3 linked regions of the Tamandua tetradactyla genome follow. The protein of the gene in region 3 purifies or fractionates together with the protein of the main gene of each other region. This does not show direct contact. Links are inferred from orthologs where the notes say so. Each region holds a gene or a part of one and is shown on either strand. Other genes may lie near its edges.

The links. The genes of interacting proteins can lie anywhere in the genome.
Region 1: the proteins of TOX4 (region 3) and PPP1R10 purify together in Homo sapiens (affinity purification with mass spectrometry; 3 studies listed by BioGRID and IntAct, counting the BioPlex papers as one, with this or other methods). This does not show direct contact. The link is inferred for Tamandua tetradactyla from reciprocal best matches to the Homo sapiens genes TOX4 and PPP1R10.
Region 2: the proteins of TOX4 (region 3) and PPP1CB purify together in Homo sapiens (affinity purification with mass spectrometry; 5 studies listed by BioGRID and IntAct, with this or other methods). This does not show direct contact. The link is inferred for Tamandua tetradactyla from reciprocal best matches to the Homo sapiens genes TOX4 and PPP1CB.

Annotation. Positions count from the first base shown.
Region 1 is NC_135331.1:85,495,716-85,503,572, reverse strand, and holds the start of PPP1R10 (serine/threonine-protein phosphatase 1 regulatory subunit 10), read left to right. Parts: upstream 1-4,690; 5' UTR 4,691-4,869; intron 4,870-4,875; exon of another isoform or gene 4,876-5,091; 5' UTR 5,092-5,611; intron 5,612-7,857. Other genes in the region: MRPS18B (small ribosomal subunit protein mS40), read right to left, coding at 1,184-1,250, 2,464-2,532, 2,659-2,756, 2,856-2,964, 4,158-4,235.
Region 2 is NC_135329.1:12,888,934-12,896,896, reverse strand, and holds the start of PPP1CB (serine/threonine-protein phosphatase PP1-beta catalytic subunit), read right to left. Parts: upstream 3,168-7,963; 5' UTR 3,072-3,167; exon of another isoform or gene 3,009-3,071; intron 2,858-3,008; 5' UTR 2,770-2,857; coding exon 2,718-2,769; intron 1-2,717. UniProt on the Homo sapiens protein: Protein phosphatase that associates with over 200 regulatory proteins to form highly specific holoenzymes which dephosphorylate hundreds of biological targets.
Region 3 is NC_135340.1:34,969,574-34,977,855, forward strand, and holds the start of TOX4 (TOX high mobility group box family member 4), read right to left. Parts: upstream 3,387-8,282; 5' UTR 3,122-3,386; coding exon 3,116-3,121; intron 2,897-3,115; coding exon 2,828-2,896; intron 2,319-2,827; exon of another isoform or gene 2,259-2,318; coding exon of another isoform or gene 2,253-2,258; intron 1-2,252. Other genes in the region: RAB2B (ras-related protein Rab-2B), read left to right, coding at 3,550-3,595, 3,808-3,879, 8,274-8,282. UniProt on the Homo sapiens protein: Transcription factor that modulates cell fate reprogramming from the somatic state to the pluripotent and neuronal fate. In liver, controls the expression of hormone-regulated gluconeogenic genes such as G6PC1 and PCK1.

The sequences.
Region 1 (7,857 bases), on a different chromosome or scaffold from region 3:
GGCCCATCCATGTACCTCAATTTCCCCATCTTCCCATTGGGGGAGAATCCTTTCTCTCTCTCTCTGAGAGCTGGGATGAGGACTTAAGATGGCCTAGCTACTACAAAGAAGGGATGATTGGGCATTTAATGGCAAAGACACCAGGACAGAAGACAGAACACAATTCAAAGGCAAGTGTGGTTAAAGAGTTCAGTTAGACAATCCACAAAAAGGTTCATCAAGGAAAAAAGGGATTTCACATCTGGGGAAGGTGATCAGACAAACAAAATAGCCCCTTCAGCCATTTACAGCTGGACTCAAAACTTTCTTTAAAATTCTCCAACAACATGAACTCCACTGATCATGCTGTCACCTTCGATAATCCTAGTAATGGTGGGTTCAGATTATTTTTTAATAAATTTATCTTGCTTTAGTGCATAGGCTGGAAAACTTCCTGTAAAGGCTCAGACAATAAATATTTTGGGCTTTGCGAGCCTCCAGTTTCTATCTCAGCCACTCAACTCTCTGCAGTAGCCTGAAAGCAGTTGTAGATAGTATGTAAACAAATGGACATGGCTGTGGTCCAACAAAACTTTATTTCCAAAAACAGACAGTGGGCTGTATTTGGCCTGTGGGCTATAGTTAAGGAATATAAATAATTCTGAATTAAGCTTACAATTCCAAATTCAGGAAGTCTAATTGAACTGTCAATGGTACTGAACTATCAATTGTACAAGTTTGATAGTCAACCTATTTATGAGGAGACCCTTTTGTAAATATGAAGAGATTTTATATAAAGGAAATAATTGTCAATATTTAACTTTCAGAGCTACATTTAGATGGTTTGCTTGTAGTAGTACTTGCTTGTAGTGGTAGCTTTTCTTTTGTCCACAAGTAACTGTTAGTGTTACTGATTTAGAGTCTCTCCATTCAGCCCATTAAAACTTCCAAAAGTTCTAAGAAATGATCATCATGATGAATATACAATTATGTGATGAAAAAAAATTATTGCTCTTTTCTTTGCTTTGCATATATGTTATACTTCACAATAAAAAAGTTAAAAAAAAAAAAAAACTCCCAAAAGGTTCAATCACACTTTATATGCCATAAGTAGAACCCACCAAACACATACCTGTTGCCTGACTGAATAAAGGAGTGCCCCAAGGATAAGCTATTCTGGTGGTGATAGGGCTGATGAGCTAACCTGTATACGGAGCATGGAAGATGATACCTGTGTGGGCACAAACAAACTGTTCCAAGAGCTTCACATTCTATGAGGAAGCAAAATAGAGAAATATGAGCAAGAGAGGGAGGGGAGAGTGGCAAGAATTTATAGACTCAAAGTATTTAAAATCCACATCCACATGGACTACCTTAATCCTCCCACACCTTTTTAAATCTACCCTCTTTCATGGCCAAGTTTTAGCCCCATCAATTCACTGAATGCATTCTTGAAAATTCCAGCCTACTTTTCCCCTTTCCTGGCTTTTCAGCCATTTCACATGCACATCCTATGTTCTCTAAGACTTATACAGAATTCTCCTCCGCAGGATTAAGTTCTAATAGCAGCCAAAACATTTGGATGATCAAACATAGAAATTTCTGGACTCACCCAGAAAATGCAGTATACACAGCAATCTGTATATAAATATTATATATAGTTTCACACAGTATATAATGTATATATTGGCTAAGTACAATTTTACAGTTTTAATTACACAGAATGACCCTGAGCCAACAAGTGTGCTCACAGGAAACGGGATCCCCAGGGAAGAGTGGATGGCAGGCAGAATCATCTGCACTATTTAATTTTTCATTTCTCTCTGTCCCTTGTTCTCTTCTCATAACCAATTGTATACAACTGAAATGGAGAAATTATCTGCGTGACTCCACCATAACCTATGTCCCTTAGAGCAGATAGGCACCTCAATTAGCTGGCTGATACATGAATGTGTGCTATCTGGCTTCACTTCCAACACCTGCACTGCAAGCTCAGACAAGCACACTCCTGTTAGCATTTTTATAAAGTTTTCTAGCTGTTTAAGGAGCAAGACATGTCCTTTATAAAATATTGAAGGCTTTTTGAAAAAGAAAGTCAAGTGACCTCTATAACTTGCTTCATATATCCACCATCCAGCCCCAAATCCCTTAATCTCTCCCTTAGTGACAAGGCAATGAAAGGAAACCTTAAAAAAATAAAATCAGTTCAATAATTGCTAATAAATGTGATGCTTATAAAAAAGTCTTTTGGGCATTTCTCTTACCTGCCAAGAAGCTTGTGAATTTCACAGGTAAGGCAAAGTTTTTTAGTATAATCCATAGTAGGGGGGGAAAGGCTGGAGGAAGGAGTGCCCTTATAGTGCCAGAAACCACCAGTACAAAATAGACTGCAGGGACACCAGTATATGAAGAAGTGTGGAGCATCTGCAGTAATTTCTTCAGTATTGCAAAGAAATGGAGAAAAGAAATATGGATTCTCCTTACCCGAAAGTCGACATGCAACTTCTGATCCCGGCAGATGGGGCAGGGATTCCCAGCAACTTTATTCTTACGCTGCAGGGAGAAAAAACTGGCAGGTGAGATATCCAAAGCCCAGTCAAAAAAAAGTGCTATTGTCATTGTCACTATGGCCGCTAATTCCACTCCACATCTCATCCATGTTTCACCCTAGAAACTCACGATACACATTTTTCGAGTCCGCTGTGGAGGTACACCACCTTTGTGATTGCGACGGTAATCAGCCCAGACAGGGCGAGAACCATAGCGATTTTGGTATTCTGAAATGAAAGATGGTACAAGTTAATCCTGGGAGAAGAAGTCTCTGCTCACTTTCATCAGACCCCCACCTAACTCTCCCCTTCTCCATTGAGAGGTACCTTCTGAGTCCAAATATTTCCAGGGTTCATCCTTATAAGGAGAAATAGGAGCTGGGGGCAAAGAATCTTTGTCAGAGGTGACTTTGGTGCAGAGTACCTGGAGTGGAACCTTGGAAGAGGGGGGGAAAAAAAAACGAGAATGAATTAAAAAGAGGGACTCCATTGTTTCACTTACTACAATTTGAGGAAGGGGTGCATGCCCACTGCTTTAACGAACTATAGCAGTAATATATACAGAAGGTAATATTTTTGTTGGGTTAATAAGTTGACATAATCAACAAACACTCTCCCTACCTCCAAACGAATCCTGAAAATAGAAGCTAATGTCAGGGAATTATTAGGATAATCCCTATCCTACCAGGAGGCAAACCTATTTGAAAAGACAATTTAAAAATCTGGCACCTATAAGATATTACTTTTGGAAATGAATTGAGTGTCACAGAGGAAAAAGAAAGGAAACGGGCAGACGTTTGGTCTCTTGGAAATTCGTGTGGTGGTGAAAGGATGCATAGGACTGATGCGTCTCCAACTCAATCCAGAGTCACTGTGTTGTCCAGCCTTATAAAAAGTTGAAGCTCAACATTCCAGAGAGCAGGACAAACTCGAGTCCTAACGCAGGCTTTAAAGCTACAAGGCCTGTTATTAAATCCGTGATGACCCCAGTCTCAACACTCTTGGAGTCCCTCTTCAGGGAGTGGCAGCTGGGCAAGCCTTCTCATCTTGCCCAGCTCCACCAAGGTACCTGTCCTGCCCTACCACGAACCTCCAGGGTGGTGAGTACAAGAGGTTGGAGGGAAATCTCAATACAAAGGACCGAGTTGAAGCTCTCGAGTATGATCTGATAAGAAGTTGACTTAGTGACATAAATAGAGTTGGGAAACTGGTTTCTCAGGTTGTGAGGATGCATCCCAATTTTACTGGGAAATAGGAGGACAGCCAGAAGCTAGGGTCCCTCAAATTAAAGACATTCCAGGTCATCACAGATTTTGACACCATCTGTAGAGTTAAGAGACGAATGTGCATAATAAAGGTCAATTCGGCCACCTAATTCTTTAGCTGAGATAGTACCTTAGGAAGAGGATAACCGCAAACTCTGGTTCTGCTTTCGGTTCGAGATTAGAAAATGTGCGAAGTATTGTGGCGGGTAGGAATGGTGGTGGCAGCAAAGCGTTCCCGAGCCCACCCAAACATGAGCACATGGAAAAATCTCCCCCTCCACCTCTCGGATCCCCGGTAGTGGAGCAACGACCATGAAAGAGTATAATTTAAGTTGGGACTACACAGTGTGTTCTGAGGAGGTACCTGAACTCCGTAGGCACCTCTGAGGAGTGGAATCTTAGGAAGCCGCCTCAGCAGCGTGTTCAATAAGGAAGCTGCCATGTTGACGCAGCCCAAACGCAGGAAAGGCCGGAAAGGCGACTGCGCATGTCCCGGCAACTGAACAGGTACGACCGAGGACGAGCCCGCAGTACGGAAGCCGGCCACGTGCTTGCGTCAGGACGGAAGCGTGAACGAGTAGCCCGGGGAGAAGCCAATTTCATCTGCGTCACAACTTAATTAAGCATCAAAATTATATTTCTCTGAACCAGTCACTACAACTTCTAGGTCCGATACGTAGAAATAGCATTTTTAGCAATTTTGAAGGCGATTTTGGGTCGAGTTCTTCTAAGTGCGCATGCGCCGGGTCCTTTCTGCCAACCGAGGGTGAGACTTGTTCACGCAGGGCGGACGTGGTGGAAGTAGAGGAAGGGGCGGTGCTAGGCTCTCCGGTCACGCGCATGCCGGGGAACAAGAAGGAGGTGGAAGGGGGGGGAGTAAAGGGGCCTAGGAAGGCGGAGGAGGGATAGCCAATCAGCGAGCGAATTGTCGTTCGTGTGGACCAATGAGTTCACGCCTCGCGCACAATGTCTCGCGACAAGGGCGTTTCACAAGCACGTTTGGGCGCGTTGGGCGGCGTCCTGCTATAAAAGACTCCGCCCGAGCGGGCAGCCGCCATTCTGGGGTTCGTTTAGAGGTAAGTTTTGTGGATATCTTATTGGGTGGATAAAGTTTTGCGGAGAGCGTTGGCCTGTGAAATGGGGGTCGGGTAGGTTCACTTGAGGGCCACATTTTATACAAAGCGGCTGCGTTGGAATTGGGACGTGGGCCTTTATTTCGGGGTTTGTGATACTTTGGGGTGTGTTAGAAGCAACCCGTACTGATTACATCTTTCTCCCTTGTGTTCCTTTTACCCCAGGTTTGAGTTTTCTCGGAGAAAGACAGGCCGGCCACGAGGAAAAAGAAACAAGCCGCAGCAACATCTAAGCCCTTGAAAGGATCCTGAGAGAGGGGGGAAAGGGAAAACAGCAGCCACCAGCCCAACCACTTGTGTCTTCTGCCCCTTCTCACCCATCTTGCCCCCCACAAGCCCACGCTGCTTGGGACTTGAAATCTGTGGCCGAAGGACCGACACCACATAACTTCAAAAATAATCAACCACCCTCCCTTCCAAAACAACCCAAATTCACTCATCCAGCGTTTAATTTTTTGAAACCACTCAGAATTTTTTACTACGAACCCCCCTCCCTAAATGGAGTTGGGTGGGGGGGAATGAATACTGAGTTGGCCTTTATTTTTTTTAAGAGACTTTTTCATCCAATGAGGCCCCCCAAATAATTGTGTTTTGGGTCCTGGTTGGTGGTTTTATTTTTTTCTCCCCAATTTTAGCCCCCTCCCCCCCTGAGCCCGAGGTGCTGACGTCGCAAAAAAATTGGATAGTAAGTGTCGAATTTTCAAAAACCAGCCTTGCAACAAGAAATCAACCTTTCCCGTTGTGAAACCAAAAATAATGAGAGGAAGAAATGAGATCATAGAACAAATAGAACTGGAGAAGGACCAATCCGGTCACTTGATCTCCATTAAAAAGGGCCTTTGGCTCTGAACAGTCTTGTTATCTCTTCCCTACCACCTGATCTCTTTCCTGTACTGCTGCAGGAAAGGAGAAAGGTAGAGGGGGGGGGCCAGCAAGTGAGGATTTTAATGGTTAACCCTTGGTAAAACAGCAAATTTCCAGACTGCCGAAGCCGTAGTGCTGGCTTATGAGGAGGAATGGTTACCTTCCTCTGGTTAGCAGTCTTCAAAAGGGTTAATGAGCTCACATACAAAAGATGGTGGATCTTGTGGCCCCAGTAGTCCCACTTCTTTGTGTGTGAGACAAGTAGGGGCGCCTCTCAATTTGCCAGATTAATAAGCAATCTGTACATAAAGATTGCAGGGTAAGGAGATGGGCAGAGAAATAATAGCTGGCTATGACTTAAATGATTTTTAAATCCTCTCAAATTTTAATGTAATTTGTTTGGGATATATTTGGCTAAAATAGGTGGCAATCTAGGAATAAAGATTGCAAGACACTTAATTTAGGGCAAAATATAACAGTGCCAATACATACAATAGTTGGGAAGGTAAAAAAAAATGTCTTGTAATTGTTGCAGATTGCATAGGTTATTGAAAAGCAAAAAAATGATTAACATTTTAACTTGATATATTTTGGAGGGGGGATACAGTTAAATAGCGGGTGAAACGGGAAATGTGGAATTCAGGAGTATAAGTTTAAAAGCCATTTAGTGCAATTGAATGCTAGCTTTCTAAAAGATTTTGTGTCGTTAAAAGGAATTTTTTTCTTACCTGCTTCAATATGGCGACTTTTCCTTGTCCTTTTGTTTCTTCCAAGCGGCGTTGCAGGTTGTTTCTTGACCCATTTTTCTCCTGTCCTCCCACTTCAACCCTATTTGTTGAGTGGGGTCCGGGTCCTCCCCCTTTCCTTTTGTTGGGGGGGGGTGGTGGTGGTGGTGGTGGTGGTCGGTGGCAGCAGGTTAAACCTCAGTTGCAAATTCAATTCTTCCCTGTAGAAAATTGTTCTTTTTAATATTTGTTTTTATTTTCATCACGCTCTTAACTCAAAAAGACAAAGATAGTTTAGGTTTTTTTTTTTTTAAGATGGGGCTGATTTTTGTTTTGTTTTGTTTTTAACCGAGAAAAGGGTGTTTTTATACTGGAACCGTAGCTGCCGGCAGAGCCGGGGTGGCTTTTTAATTTGAGTCCTCTTCTCCATTACAAAATGGCGTCCCAGCTTCTTTGTTGTTTTTCTCACCCCGTTTGCCATCCAGAGCTTAGGGCCGCCCTAGAAACTTGGTCAAGGGGGAGGAGCAGCATTGAAAGGTGATGTAATCAGCTTTCTTCCTCCACTCTCCACCCTCTTGAAACTCCACCCGTGAGCAGATGACTTGGGCGCTCCCTAAGCAGGCTGCTGCTGAGGAGAAGACAGGAGAAATTTTCCTTATTTATCTTAAAACGAAAAAAATCAAACCTCGTAGGAATTAGGTCTTGAGGCTGTCCGTCTCCTTGGGCAGCTCTAGTTTTTTATATTATTAGAGCACGTTGCTTTTATTTTCACCTGCACTCAACACTACTGCTTGGAAGTTTTCCCTGCCTCAGTTGCCAGGGATGGAAAACCAGTCACATTCAACTGTACTGGGATCTTGGGGAGGTGGGGGGAAAGAGTGTGTGTGTGTGTCGTATATGTATATATGGGTGTTGGGGAAAGACACAGGCTTGAGAAAGAGTAATTTGAGTAGATAAATGAAATTGAAATGTGCCATTTATGCTCAGGCACCGCTCCTTGAACCTCCTGCATTTGTTTGGTTGTGTAATGAGAATGGGGGAGGTTGGGTACTTTAGGACTTCCTTCTAAATCAACCTTATTCCCACCTCTTGGTTTGGGGATAAACTCTTTTGTGTTCAGTGCTGTATCACGTTCTACAGTTGCTTAGCTCCTGTACATTGGTACTAAGATGAGAAGTGAATCTTTAGGAAAAGAGGCGGCAGTTGTAAACTCAAGGCAGGGGGAATCAAGCTACGGTTTCTGGTAAGCAAAACCTTTCTGGTATTAATTACATTTCACAACCTTCATTTCTTTTTCCCAGAGAGCCACCTTTTTTTGAATTTCTTTTTCCTTCCCTTCTAA
Region 2 (7,963 bases), on a different chromosome or scaffold from region 3:
AATTTTAACTTGTACTTCCATTTGTAAACTAAAAAAAAAAAAACAAAAAAACCCACGAATTATTATACTAGGCAGCTCAAATTTAATTTGAGTTAAATTGAATTAGCATGTAACATTACCGAAAAATCAGGGAAGACAAAAAATCTTATGTGAAGACTAAAAACAATTATTCATTAGAAAAACCAGATCTGCTTCAGACAAGTTTTTGGATGGGAAGATTGGCAGGGGAAATCTGGAGAATTTTAAGAATCTCAGGGAGGTACTGTCAAACAAAATATGCTTCACCCCCGCCCCCGGGGGTTAAGAAACAAGGAATAAAAACTCTTTACTGGTGGAAATGTGCTGAATATACGAACAGAACGGAGAGTGAAAAAAGCCAGATAATCCTTCTTAGCCTGGGAGCTCTTAGAGGGAGGAGACTGTGTTTTATCTTTGGATTCCTGGTCTGGCACAGAGTAAGTCAATAAAGGGAAAAATGTGTCTGAGATGAGAAATCTTACACACACACACACACACACACACACACACACACACACACACACACACACACACGAAGGTGTGGAAAAAAAGACTGTTTCCATTCCAAACGGAACCAAAATGTTTAATTTGCATACACAAAACCAAATAGAATCACTTACTTTCCCGACCAAATCTTTTTTCCAATAACCTTGACGATCTACTAAGTTTCCTAAGTATGTATAATCATAAAAAGTGGGTTCAACTTAAAAGGTTCCACACAGTACATTTTTAAAAGCATAGGTCTACCGTATATAAATGTATGGAAGAGAAAGGTGAAGAAGCTGCAATACAAACACCAGCTTAATTTTTTTTTACATTTACAAGCAAAATTTCAAATATATTCTTAAAGATGAATGTATAATGATACAGCTTACGCAATGTGACTGAGTGTGAAAATCTTGTGTCTGATGCTCCTTTTATTTACGATACTGATAGACGAGTAAAAAAAAGGATAAAAAAAGATCTTTGCAGAGTTAATAACAGAGTGGTAATTGGGAAAAAATTAACTACTGCATAGTATGGACTCTATATAAGCAGTTATATCTTAATAATTTTTATCAACAGTAACACATAACCACACCAATACTAGGGTTAAATAGTTGGGGGTGGTGGTAAGGGATATGGGGTGTTTTGAGTTTTCTTTGTGTGTGTGTCTGTTATTTTTCTCTTTGTTGCAATGGAAATTGTCTAAAATTGAGAGTAATGATGACTGTACAACTAAGTGAGGATACTGTGAGACGACTGTATACTTTGGATAGAATATATGGTATGTAAATATATACATATATCTCAATGAAATTTGCAGATTCAAAAAAAATTTCGTATAAAAATGGTAATATGTCAAAACCTCCCCAAAGGTTAACGAGATACTAAAGTTCTAAAATAACTATATTTCTCTCTCAGAATAATTTACAGGTACAAAAACTATACAATCTTTCTAAAAACAAATTTCTTACAGTTAAAACCCAACAAAATGTTAAAAGTCCACAAAATTCAAGCAGTGAACACTGACTGCAGGCACCAGGGGGCCTCCCAGGAATAACTTACTAGTAAAGGAAAAGGTAAGAAAGAGTTTCTGGTAAAACTTTGCTTCCTATTCATATTGAGTCAGACTCTTCGAAGGCTTTCACATCTGGAGCAAATACACTGTATTTAGTTACACATTAAGTACACACAGAACTGATGTTGTTTCAGATACCAATACATTAGCTGAATAATCTTCATGATTTTCCAAATTTAAGTACATATTGCTTCACTGCTGTAAACAATAATCTTCAGATAATGTGAAAGCAAATAATTCACAGACAATAATTTGACTATCGAACAAAAAGGACTCTAAATTTTAAAAAAGGCTTACTTAGAACTTTTCTACACACCCAGAAAGCAATGCGAATCTAAGGGTAAAGGGACTCATTGGCCGAAGATTGCGATTAACTTTGAATAATATCCTGTAATGAGTCAGTATGTTTAATTCCTGGCCTCTGTGCCCTTCCCTCACACATCAATCTAAAATTTTCAATAAAAACGCAAAGGGCCCGGAAACTTCAAACGTTGCTTAAACTTAAAAGGGAGGCTTTTCAACAGACCTCTCCTAACTATGTGCCTAAATTAAATTCTGCTCAAACCTGTTAAATTCGCAAAGTCTAACCAATCCCTTCAACATACCTATGTACATATTTCAGATTTCTTGCGGGAGGTCTTCCACTTCGTCAAAGATTTTACTTCCCTTTTTTTTTTTTTAAAGCTAAATAATAAACGGTAGAATTCAACTCGCGCTAATACCACCCTCTTCCTAGCCGAGTTCCTTCTCCAGCATCATACAAAAATGCAGAACAGCAGCTTAAACAATCACACTACGGAGTTTTTTTTTTTAAGTATATAAAATTCACCCCGAACAACAATGTGAGGGAGCCAAAGGCCAAGGCACAAAGAAAACCGAGAAGAAACGCGCGTTCCAGGGACATAGAGCGCACACCACACGCACCCTCGCTCCCTCCTTGGAAAGGGTCCCCACCGCGAGCAGCAGCAGCTCCCCGCCGCCCCGGAGCGGCGCCCTCCGTCCCCGAGGGTCCGCGGGGAGAAGTACCCTCCTGCGCCCTCCCCGCTGCCTCTGCCCGTCCGCCCCGCTGCCTCCGACTTCGGGAAGAGAGGATCGAGGAGGGCCCCCCCGCAGCCCGCCGGCCCGGCCCCGCGCTCACCCTCCAGCAATCGGGTGATGAGGCTGTCCACGTTCAGCTCCCCGTCCGCCATTTTGTCGGCACCAGGCTCTCCCTCCCGGCAGCGGGAACAAGGGCTTCTCGGTGGCGGAGGGTGCGGCGACGGCTCGGCCTTCTCTCACCTACAAGCCACACGGCGTTTCGACCCCAGGCCCGACTCCCCCCTTCTCCCGGGCCCTCCCCCCACCCCCTCCCCACCAAGTCGTGCGAGCGCGCGCACACTCGGAGGAACGGGGGATAAATCAATAAATAAACAAGCGGGGCCGCACGCACCGGGCCGCGTCAACCCCGAGCCTCCACCTCCCCTTCGGCACCGCCCAACGCCGCAGAGCTCACCAGCGCCGCTCCGCGCGGCACTTCCCCGCCACCGCGCCACGCAGCCCCCGCGCAGGCGCACTGCCGCGTTCCGCGCGGCCCAGGCCTCTGCGCAGTCGCACTGAGTTCACCCACCGCCCCCAGCTCCCGCCGGCGCCGCCGCCTTCGCGCAGACGCGTCGCCCTTTCCCTCCACTTCCACTGCGCCGACTCGCCGCGGTCGTGCAGGCGTCCTGTGGGGTTTCCGGATTTGCTGCGCCGAGGAGGCCCCCGTTACGCAGAGCCGGCGTCAGCGGGGCGGCCCTTTCCCCCTCATCGCCTTCGGGCTCAGGGCCTTCTGCAGCGCAGTTGGTGTGTACCCTTTCCGCCTCGCTCTTCTTTATTTCAACTTAATTCCATGATTTTGCAAGCAAGTCCTCGCAGTTCCGTTAACCGAGGAACGTAGGCCCCACTTACCCATGCTTGAAACCTGGTTTGCGCATTTGGGTAGCAAGAAGAGGTGGTCTGCTGGAAACGTTTGACATTGCACACAGTTCACAAGGCCAGGTCCCCAAGTGTCCCTGGATGAATGAATTGAAGTGAGCCTCGAAAGGATCAGCAATAATTATACTTTACATGCCTTTTACGCGGAGCTTTCACATATCTTCCATCTCCATCTGCCCCGTGGATGCTATTTTACCACAATATTTTGTGTTTGTGCCTCTATTATATTGTTTACTTTTCTTAACGTTGTAATTGTTTATACATTTATCTCACACTCGACCGTGGGATCCTAGAGGGCAAAAAATAAGCATTTGTCATGGCAGCACCCACCGAGTATCTGGCGCAGAGAATGTGAAGGAGAAGGAGAAAGGAGGGGGCTCAGCTGGTTGCCCAGCTGTTCTTTCCACCACATGTATGATGCGCGAGAGGGAGAGTAGCCGCCCAAAGAATCTAGGCAAGCCAGAGTTTTCTGCCTGTTCCGGGAGGTGGCCAGACCAAAGGCCTTTACCTGTCCTCAGCTGTTTTTCCAAAAACTCAGGGAGACTCTACAAGGTCGTGACCATACTTCTTCCACCCATATGTCACTATAATACCTAACATTTATTGAGGTCCTTGCATGTACTGGGCACTGTTTTAAGTGTTACACACTTGCTATGGCATTTAATTTTTGCAACAACCTCATGAGGTAGGTATTATTATTATTTCTATTTTTGTGGATAGGATTCATTGAGACACAAAATGGTTAAATACGTCTACTCAAATCACAGTAGTAAATGGCAGATCTGGGATTCAAACCCAGGAATCTAGCGACAGAACCTGCACCCTTTTTTTAAAAAAATGCAATTTTACTGATATATGTGTTTGCATACCATATAATCATCCAAATTGTACAACCAGTGATTCACGGTATCACTATATAACTGTGCATTCATCATCGCAATCGATTTTTGAACAGTTTCATTACTCCAAAAGAAAAAGAATAAAAGTGAAAAAGAACAGCCAAAATATCCCATATTCCCCAACCCCCTATTACTTATTTTCACATTCACACAGTCACACATTAAAAGCTCTGTAGTTATACAGTCATCTTCAAGATTCAAGGCTCTTGGATTACAGTTCAACAGTTTCAGGTAGTTCTCTCTAGCTATTCCAACACACCAAAAAACTGGAAAGAGTTATCTATATACTGCATAAGAATAACCTCCAGGATGACCTCTCTGCTCTGCCTGAAATCTCTCAGCCACTGAAACTTTATTTTGTCTCATTTCTCTTCCCCCTTTTGGTCAAGAAGACTTTCTCAACCCCATGATGCTGGTCTCGGCTCATCCCAGGAGTCCTGTCCTATGTTGTCAAAAGGAAATGTATACCTCTGGGAATCACATCCCACGTAATGGGGAGGGCAGTGAGTTCACCTGCCGAGTTGGCTTAGACAGAGGCCACATTTGAGCAGCAAAAGAAGTTCTCTGCGGTGACTCTTAGGCATAATTATAAGTAAGCTTAGCTTCTCCTTTGCAGAAATAAGTTTAATAGGGGCGAACCCCAAGACTGAGGGCTCAGCGTATTGAATTGGTTGTGCCCACTGCTTGAGAAAATATAAGGTATTCCCCAGATGAGGACGTTGACTATTTCCTTCTTTCTCCCCAGTCCCCTAAGGGGACTTTGCAAATACTTTTTCATTTTCTGCCCAAGTTACTCTCAAATATATCGCGGCATTATACTAACCTGTACAAACCAACAGGATCTTACGCACTATTCAAGATTCCATGTAATTATGGTGTTCAAATAGACTGCTCATACAAGTTAAATTAGATAACGTGCTACCCAAAATATAAATTTTGCACCAAATAAACATTCCTTCCTTTGATCTCATACAGAAGTTGAAGTTTTAAAATATGGATGATTTCATCCTTTACCCTGTATTCTGATTTACTTTAGTCCTGTCCAAGTCAGCTTCATTCACATCTCTAGTTGAAGTGTGATTACTTTTTCAACTCTTAAAATAGTTGCTGTATGGGATAATGCTGACTTTCATAGCTTCAGAGCTCTAACTCAGAGTCTCAGATGTCACATACATACCCGAAGTTTCAGGAAACAACTAGTTTATACACAAATAGCTCAGTATCTCAGCATTTAGAAATAACAGTTACAACTCCTGAATATATGTGACTGCTATAAGAACTTATGATCTACGACCCTTTACAAAATGCTCCAACATGATAACTCATGCTCTGGACTTCAATTCTCTGAATTTGTACATTATAGTTAGTCTGTGTGATTGAGGAATGACAATTTTGTCTTTTTGTTTCTGACATTTCATTCAACATAAGTCCTTACGGGTTTATTCACATAGGTGCATGTCTAATGACTTGATTCCTTCTTGCAGCCACTCAGTAGTCCATTGTATGTATCCACCACAGTTCCCCCTTCCATTCCTCAGTCAATGTACCCTTAGGCCACCTCTATTCATTGCGAATTTGGAACACTGCCCCATAAAAACCAGTGTGCAAATATCCATTCTTGTCCCCACTCTCAGTTCCTCCAAGTATACATGTAACTGCCAGGTTGCGGGCTCCTATGGCAACCCCACCCCTAGCCTCCTGTGGAGCCACCACACTGCCCTCCAAGGGGATCCACCATTCTACTTCCCTACCAGCAGTGAGTAGGTACAGCGCTCTCTCCGCATTTTCTCCAGCACTGTATGTCTCTCTTCATTTTTAAATAGTTTTGCTCATACATCATGTACTCCAACCTAAGTAAAAAGTTAGTGGTTTCGGTAGAGTCACATAACCACGCACTCACCACTACAACCTATATGAGGAAATTTCCTTTTCTTCCACAAAGAATCCACACCCCTGCCCCTTATCCCCTGCTTATTGACACCTAGCCTTGACATACTGACCTTGCTACATTCAATGGAAGCATATCACAGCATTACTGTTAATTATAGACCCTATATGCATTGATTATACTTTTCCCCCTATACCATCCCATCTTCCACATCTTGCAATGTTGACATTCATTTAGAACCTGCACTCTTCACCTTTACAACATTATTCTTTCATTGAATGTGAACTGAGACGCTTAAACATGCATGTGCTATATCAAAACTTGGAGAGAAGAAACTGTCAATTTGGGGGGAAAAATAAAGCATTGTTTAAACAAGTGCTCTATAATGGTCCAACTGATTTACAGAACTCTACCTTTTTTTTTTCTAGCTCCCTCTCCTTCATTTCAGTGTTGAGATTGTGCACTTACACAGAAGATAGGAGAACAGGCAATAAGCTGTGGTGTAGGTCCTGTCTAAAGTAGTTTTCACAGACTCTTTACTATCAGTTTACTTTGAGGTAGATAAGGATGAAGAAATGGTGCCTCATCACGCTATCTTGTTTGGTAAAAGTATATTTGTTTGTGCCCTACTTTATTCCAGATAAAGGGATTCAAGGAAACATAAATTCATGCAGTGGGATAAATTTAAAAATGAGTACAGAGAAGAATAGGACAAAAGAAAACTGAGAGTGGAAAAGCTAAGACGAAAGGCAGCAGTAGTGGATACAGAATACTTGTTGAGGGCCTATGGGTTTGTGAGAGGTAAACCACAGATATGACCCTAATCTTGATCAGTTGCAGGAGGAACAGATATTTTGATTGAGTTGGAACCTGGGTCTGTATAAACCAGCTTGTGCAGCTGAGTACCACTTCCTGAATCTCGAAGTGTACACATATTAAGAACAAGGGGCATCCAAAGGAAACTGGATTGCACAAAGGGAAAGTGAGAATCTGAAAGAAAATTTCCACAAGCGGGGAAGGAGAGAAGCTGGTCTCGGAATAGAGTTTTGGGGGTCAGAGGGATTGAAAGAGGCTGTGAGTATCGCCTATATATTTCCCCTTTTCCACCCCACCAGGTTTCCAAAGCCTTAGAATCCTGGGAAAGAAGGAACTGTTATAGAAATGAATGAGCCATATCACTAGGGGGCCCAACCAACTTTTATGTGGATCTCCTTCTAAAAAAACTAAACTATGTAAGTGTTCAGAATTCTTCAGATCTACTATATATTATTTAACACTCCAGCTGCTTCTGGGCACTGTAATCTAAAACATTAATTTTTCAAGCAAATCATATGACCATTCAATTAGGTAAGATAAATAAAGACTACAATTAGCCTCACATCAACTTAGGTCAAATTTGCCCTTAAAGTAGCCTTATTTCTTTTTTCAGAGTAAAACATGTGTGGAAAAAAAGGAAACAGATATATATTTTAAAAACCTATAATCTCATCAACACACGTATATTCCCATTTGATAAAATTGTCATCGTGCTTCACCTTCAATTTGATCCTCCTCTGTTAGATGAGTTTTGATACTATGTTTATGTAAAAGTCAGCTTTCAAAGTGTATTTGGATTTTGAAGTTATGGATGAGAGACTGAGGGCA
Region 3 (8,282 bases):
TGTAAGAGCCAACTTGAATGAGAGAAATACAAAGATTAAATTCCCTTCCAATCATAGAGCTTCCCATCACAAGAAATGCTGTTATAAATACTAAGCCTTCATCTCTGGAGACCTACTATTTTGAAATTATTATTCCTTATTTCATTGAGGTACAACATATGTAAAGCACACAAATTTTAAGTGTATAGCCCAAATCATTACCAACTAGATAAAAAATACAGGATATTTTCATCACTGTAATTCCTCATGTCCCTTTCCAGTCAATACTCTGCTTCACAAGAAGTACCACTCTTCTGATTTCTACCACAATGGTTTAGCTGTGCTTATTCTTAAACCTCATTAAAAAATGAACTCATATAGTGTTCATATAGCTTCTGTGTGGTTTCTTTCATGCAACAATATATTTTTTAGATCATCCAAGTTATTGCATTAATTAGCAGTTTGCTCTTTTTTATTGCTGTGCAGTTATTGCTTTTTATAAATGTACTAGTTTATCTATTTTTCTGCTGATAGATATTTGGGTTGTTTCTGGTGTTTAGCTATTATGAATAGAGTTGCTGTGAACATTCCTATACATGTTTTTGGTGAATATATGTGCATATATTCTTTTGCATATAAACCAACGAGTGCTATTCCTGAGTCACAGGGTAGGCATATTTTTATCCTAAAGAGATACTGTCAGTTTTCCAAAGTGGTTAAACCAATCCACACTCTGAACAACTATGACTGAATTATCCATACTCTTGACAACTCTTAGTTTGTCAATCCTTTCATTTTAACTAACTTGGTAGGAATACAAGGGCATGTAACTATGATTTTAATTTGTATTTTCCAGATGAGTGATGATGGCACTTTTTTCATATGCATATGACTATTTGGATATCCTTTTTTGTGAGGTTCCTGTTTTCAAATCTTGCCCATTTTTAATTAGATTATTTATTTTGCTCTGCAGGAGTACCTGATACATTCAGAATATGAGTCAGATAAATGTACTGTAAATATCTCCCAATCTGTATACTGCCAGTTTACTTTCTTAATGATATCTTTTGATGAAAAGATGTTCCCAATTTCAATGAAGTCCAACTTTCCAATGTTTCCTTTTACACTTAATACTTTTTGTGGACAGCTACCCTTTACGTGTACGAAAATTTAAAAATTACTCTACTTCTAAATAATTAAAAAAAATATTACCTTTACCTACAAAAAACACAAGCGAATCAAAATAAAAGTTAAAAACAAAAAAGAGGGGAAGGAAAGAGGTAGAAGTTGTAATGAGAAAAGGGAAAACAGTTAACAATTCTGTATACCATAGGAAGCTACAGAAGTTGACCCTAAAACTTACTTTTAAAAGGAGCTTCTTGGCAAAACAGGTTTTGTTATTAAAAAAACAACAACAACAACAACAAAAAAAACAAACCCACACACAATAAACAGATTCAAACTCGGAGTTTCTTGACATTGTAAAAAGGAGCCACCTCTCATGTAGTTTATAGATTACTTGACTTCATTTAAGAGGCAAAAGATTAAGAATGGTGGGTAAATAGAAAGCATTCATATTTAGTTTTTGAAATGCACTTTTGCATGGACGTGACCAATGTGAAATTTACAAATACTCCAAATAATGAAATTTATACTGTACAGAACTGATTCTGGGAAAAACTGGTACTGAAAGAGACTGCAAAGCACCAAACAGATCCTTAGCTTTATATCACTTCTAAATTTGGTGTATCTTTGATTCATACTTTCCTCTGCTTAGGAGAAGTATAATAAATGACAACAGCAATAAAGAAGTTAAAAAACTAGCAATGGTCCCTTGTCAATCTAATTCTCATCCAGGAGAATTTTAGGATTTATTATAGGATAAGTCCACACAAAAAAGCAACTGAGAATTCTTGGTACCAAAACAAATGCCTTGTACTGCTTTTGAAAAAAAAATTTTAAATCCTCAAAAGACAGTAGATGGCTTTCGACTTCACACTCACAGGGAAGTAGAAATTTATTTTTAACTGTTTCATATTTCTCTTTTGCCTGGCCTAGGCAAGTAATACATATCCATGTTACGACAATATTTAAACCAAAACTTTTCCACAAATACTAAAGGACCTCACCATAACCATTACTTCTACTTCACAACATCATAAGCAACTATTAATACAACCATTTGATAGATGGGAAAACTGTGACATAACAAAGGCGAAGTAATCTGCTCAATCTCTGAGTCACCCACAAGCAGAAACACATGTTCTACTTAACTCCATTCATGTCCTTTGGTACCTCTTTCCTTTCCTCCGGTCATCAGCAAAACATGGTGACGCCATCTACATAAACATAATTACTAATTTTGCTGTTGCTGTTGTTACTGAATAGGAAGTTTAAATGAAAGAAAGGCCCCTTCAACAGAGTTCGTTTCAAGGATGAACATATGTCCACATTTAATCCATTAGGTAAGTTCATATCCTCATTTCAGCTTCTTTAACAAAAACATTTTCTTCCTGCTGTTATCCCTCAAGACGGTTGTAGCTATTTCCTCCCTACGAAAGGAGACTATTCCACTGTCTTCCAACTCAGTATCAATCTCCTCCTCAAACAGATCATCGCTTTCCAACGTCCTATTTTTCTGATGACAGCAGCTTCCGGGACCCTCCCCAGATAGTCCTCAGAGGTTCGAGAAACAGCTACCACTTTTCCCTAAACACCAAACGCGGACCCTGATTCCCAGCCCCGGGTCCCCCGCGTCAGCGCTCTCCCGCCCCCACCCTACCACCACCGCTGCCTCCGGCCCTCCCCTCACCCCCCACCCCCCGCAGCGTCATCAGCTCGTGCTCACCTCGGCCCCTGACAGGAAGGGGTGCGAGGGCCCTGTGATCGTCAGGTAATTGTCATTTCCTCCGGGAAACTGGAAACCAAAAGAAAGCCGCGGGGATAAGTTAGGGGGCGGGTAGGGAGTCAGCTGGGAGCGACGGATTCTGACCCCGACCTTCTGACAACACTCCCCAAACCCTGCTGTCTCTCTCCTCCCGGGTCAGCCGCCTCTCCTCCCGGCTTCCCTCCTCTGCTTTATTCAAACCCGTGGGCCACGTTCTCTCGTCAGCCTTCTCAGCGTTCCAGTTCCTACCTCCATCTTCACACAACCGCTACCACCGTCTCAGTCCCCTCATCGCTCCTACCGCCCCCACCAGACTCGGAACTTCCGTCACTTCCGTAATGAAGAACATCATTCTCCACTGATTGGAAGGTGAACAGCAGGGCCGCAGCGAGTCAGGCCCGCAAGGCCGAGGGTAGGTATCGCCCCCTGGAGCTTGGTAGGATAATAGCACTTAGAGGAGCTAAACGCGTCCCTGGAGGCGGCGCCGGGGTATAACCACCGTCCCAAACCGAGAGAGGATTTCTGGGAAGAGCAATAGAGATGTGATCAAGGCTAGAGGGGCGAGAGTTGGGGGGGGGGGGGGGTGCGGAAAATAAGGAGATCGGTAGATTGAGCCGTTAGAGAGGCCGTAGGTAAGTTGCTATAGAAATCGGGCGGACCCGGAATCCAGAGGAATTGGGACCATGACTTATGCTTATCTCTTCAAGTACATTATCATCGGGGACACAGGTAAACCGCGGGTTGACCGCTTTTGAGGCTGGGGCGTGGTTCCTAAATTCCCAAATCGGGTCGCGAAGGCGGGGCTCATTTAATAGTTCGGGTAACTCCAAGAGCTGGCGGGGGCGGGGCGAAGCGGGCGGGACTCGGGGCTCCCCCTCCCGGGTTCTCAAAGCCCACACAGGGACTGCGTGATTGCGATAACGCGCTTCGTCCTCTTTCAGGTGTGGGCAAATCATGTCTCCTTTTGCAATTTACCGACAAGCGGTTCCAGCCTGTCCACGACCTCACAATCGGTAAGTGCATTTACCTGTCCGAGAACAGCTCAAGTGAAAAGTTAGCAGCCTTCAATGCTCAAAGTAAAAATACTTCCTATTTTATGATAGAACAAAGTTATAGTTAATGAATTAAAACAAGCACTGATAAATGAGGAGTGTAATGGGGTAGAAATAATTGGACGTTAACTTGACCGATGAATGTGAGATACGGGATTGGTTGCCTCAGGATTTTTTTTTAAAACTCAATTTGTATGTTTATGGAAAATCCCACGAAAGCATAACTGCTGATTCAAGAGCTCATCTGCTTGGCGGTACATTATTACTAACCTCACATATGTTTCTCAAAGTAATCACCATTATATGGATTTTTTTGTATGTTGGAGAGGAAGAAGCATAAAAAAGGCAGATTAAACTGATAACTTTCCTTTTAAAGGAAAGAGTATGATAGAATTCCAAAAACAAACTGGTGGAAACCTACGACCTCCAGATGGGTCCCTAGACCAGATGAGTCCTAAAATGTGGAGGGGCCAGCCTCTCCAGAGCATGAACTAGCCCTAACCATATTATTGACAGCCCTTTCCAACATGAAAAAGTTAAAATGGGCATAACCCAAATACCCCTAAAGAGTGGGAGAAAGAACAAAGGTGATGGTGGAGTTATACAAAGAAGGTAGAGTTTAACATATGCCTATGATTGCTGAATCATTATATTGATATTACTTTTAGTCTCCAATGTCTTGGAGCAGCTAGTAGTAAAAACCTAAAATTGTGAAATTGGAACTCATGCCAAACTCTGAAATCTGTTTTACAACTAATTGTTGTGATGTACTTTGAAATTTATTCCTTTTTTGTATATATGTTAGTTTTCACAAAAAAAGAAAAAAATAGTCGATTGTGATGATAAATGCACAGCTTTATGATGATATTGTGAACCATTGATTGTACACTTTGGATGATTACACAGTATGTGAATATATAATATGTACCAATAAAAACAAAACAAAACAAAACCTGGTGATCTTCGAAAGTATAAACATCCCACACTCATTTGTTGCAAGGCATGGCTTAGAGGAGTTTTAGCATCCCACTTCCCGTACTCTCCATAATCCCATCCCTGATTAAAACAAAGCAAAACAAAACACTTAAACTTCTTGCTGTAAAAATGCAGTCTCTACATAAAAGTCCTAGCTTCCCATTTTCACCATATAGCCACTTCTAAATCCTACCAGTATAGAAATCTTTCCCAAAGGATTATTCAAAGCCAAATAACTGAGGGTTAGAAAAGTGTTTACCAGATAGAAGCAACAGGTTTTTTTTTTTTCCTTAATGAATTTTAGCTGAATACTGATGTGTCATATACTAAGGATACATGCTTAGCAAGGTAACATCATGTCTGCCCTTCAGTAGCTTATAGCCTTCCTTGCAAGAATGGAGATGGGAATTGGGGCAGATACTGGTAAGCAAATTCCCCTTACAAAAGGGGAAGCCAAGGTTGCCGCCTCTGTCAACAAATGCTGAAACTTGAAGAATGAGCAGAAGTTAGCCAGGCAGAGGGATTATGGATATAATAATTTTTTTTTTAAGAAAAGTGACTAGGTTAGAGAATGTTCAGAAGTTCAGGGATGGCAGAGATCAGGCTACTTGTGAAAGCTTGAGTACTTCAATATGACTGGAGCATGGAGTTTGAAATGGAGAGTGGTGAGAAATAAAACTAGAAAAAAAAATTAGATCCCAAATTTTCGAACTCTTGAAGCAGTAGAGAACAAGTGACAGGTTTTAAAGTATAGTAGTAAAATGATCAATCACGTTTTCCCAGAGTCCAATAAAGGCTGTGTTTCTTGTTGAGTTCAGTCCTCTCTACCAAGACAAACAAGGCAGTAGAATAGAAAACATATACCACGGACATTTGCACACCAATGTTTATAGCAGCGTTATTTACAATTGCAAAGAGATGGAAACAGCCAAAATGTCCATCAACAGACGAGTGGCTAAACAAACTGTGGTATATACATACGATGGAATATTATGCAGCTTTAAGACAGGATAAACTTATGAAGCATGTAATAACATGGATGGACCTAGAGAACATTATGCTGAGTGAGTCTAGCCAAAAACTAAAGGACAAATACTGTATGGTCCCACTGATGTGAACCGACATTCGAGAATAAACTTGGAATATGTCATTGGTAACAGAGTCCAGCAGGAGTTAGAAACAGGGTAAGATAATGGGTAATTGGAGCTGAAGGGATACAGACTGTGCAACAGGACTAGATACAAAAACTCAAAAATGGACAGCACAATAATACCTAATTGTAAAGTAATCATGTTAAAACACTGAATGAAGCTGCATCTGAGCTATAGGTTTTTTTTTTTGTTGTTGTTGTTTTGTTTTTTGTTTGTTTTTGTCTGTCTGGTTGTTTTTGTTTTTGTTTTTTACTATTATTATTACTTTTATTTTTTTCTCTATATTAACATTCTATATCTTTTTCTGTTGTGTTGCTAGTTCTTCTAAACCGATGCAAATGTACTAAGAAACGATGATCATGCATCTATGTGATGATGTTAAGAATTACTGATTGCATATGTAGAATGGTATGATTTCTAAAAAAAAAAAAAAGAGTCAGGTGCCTAGGATGTAATGGAGAGGCTGGAGGGAAGTGCCTGAAAATGCAGAGCTGTGTTCCAGTAGCCATGTTTCTTGAGGATGATTGTATAATGGTACAGCTGTCACAGTGTTACTGTGTGATTGTGAAAACCTTGTGTCTGATGCTTCTTTTATCTGCCTTGTCAACAGATGAGTAGAACATACCGAATAAAAATAAATAATAGGTGGAACAAATGTTAAAATAAATTTAAGTTTGAAATGCTAGTGATCAATGAAAGGGAGAGGTAAGGGGTATGGTATGTAAAATTCTTTTTTTCTTTTTCTGTTTTTGTTTTATTTTTCTGTTGTCTTTTTATTTCTTTTTCTGAATTGATGCAGATGTTCCAAGAAATGATCATGATGATGGATATGCAACTATGTGATGATATTGTGAATTGCCCAGTGTATGTGTTGGGAGTGTTTGTGTTTCTTTCTTGTAATTTTTTTTTAATTAATAAAAAATTTAAAAAAAAAGAAAAAAAAATAGATGAATGAGTAAACAAAAAGTGGTAAATGTTTTGGAGCAGCTAGAAGAGAAAATCTGAAATGGTGATATAGTAGCCCAAGACAAACTCTGGGAACTGTCCTGTAACTAATTGTTGACAAATGCTTTGAAAACTATTGCTTTTGTCTTTCTTTGCTTTGTATATATGTTACATTATAAAATTAAAAATTAAAAAAATAAAAATAGAAAATTAATTCAAGAAAAAAAAAAAGAAAAAGAAAACATATACCAAATGTAAGGGTCTCTGAGATCATATCTGGAGGATATTGCCTTAAGGGTATTCGAAAGTCTTATTTTTTTTAATACTTACCCATTGAAAATTGTATTCCTACTGTCCAGGGAAAAAATAAATTTAGTAATGTCTTTCAAAAGCTGCACTTGATTCTCATGAAACAATTTGGAATAGTAAGAGGTGTTTCTTACATCTTTCTTATTGACTGCAGCACCTTAGAGTTGAGATCTTTGTGTTGTATTCTGCATCCCTACGTGGGGCATTCAGTAAGTGCATAGGAAGCCTTTAGCACAAATTGGATTAATGCTTTTTCTTACTTGGAAATCAGAATTCTTCATGCTTTGTGCAAAGTACTGTATGAAAATAGAAAATAGGACAAATTGACTTATGACCCAACTATTTTAATGTAAATGACCTTCAGTATTTAATTTTTGACCTGACATTACCTAAGAGGAGATGAATGCCAGATAAACCAAGACTTATTCAGACTGCCATATAAGTAAGGGAGGCTATTTTCAGTAAACTCCAGGCATTCTTAGAGCTCTGAAGTGTATACTTCTTGAGAATATATTTCTTAGATAGGTTCTTTTCTCATAAAGTTCTAGAATTTCAAAAATGAAATGTTTCATATAGAGGACTAGAGAGTGACTCTGAGAAAATAGGAAATATTTTCAGATGTTTTTTGAATAAGTTACAAAATTATATGTTGCCTGATCAAATTTAAGTGTTATCTAGCACTGCTAGAATGTATTCACCTTTTTTATTTGGCTTCTTTATTTTATTCCTATGTCTGCTTTTGGTTGCATTCCCAAGATCACTATTACCTAGAACACATTTTTTTTTTTCTTAAATACCAGAAGAGAAATCAAGAACTTTAATGGACATAATTAATTGGAGCAAGTAGGCAATGATAATGGGCTGAGTGGCACTTAGAGGATGGATCATTAATTAATTGAGGAAAAGCAAGAACATCTCACTCAACATGGCTTTTGTTCATGAGGATCACATTCTTTCTCTTGAATTCATTGACAGGTGTGGAGT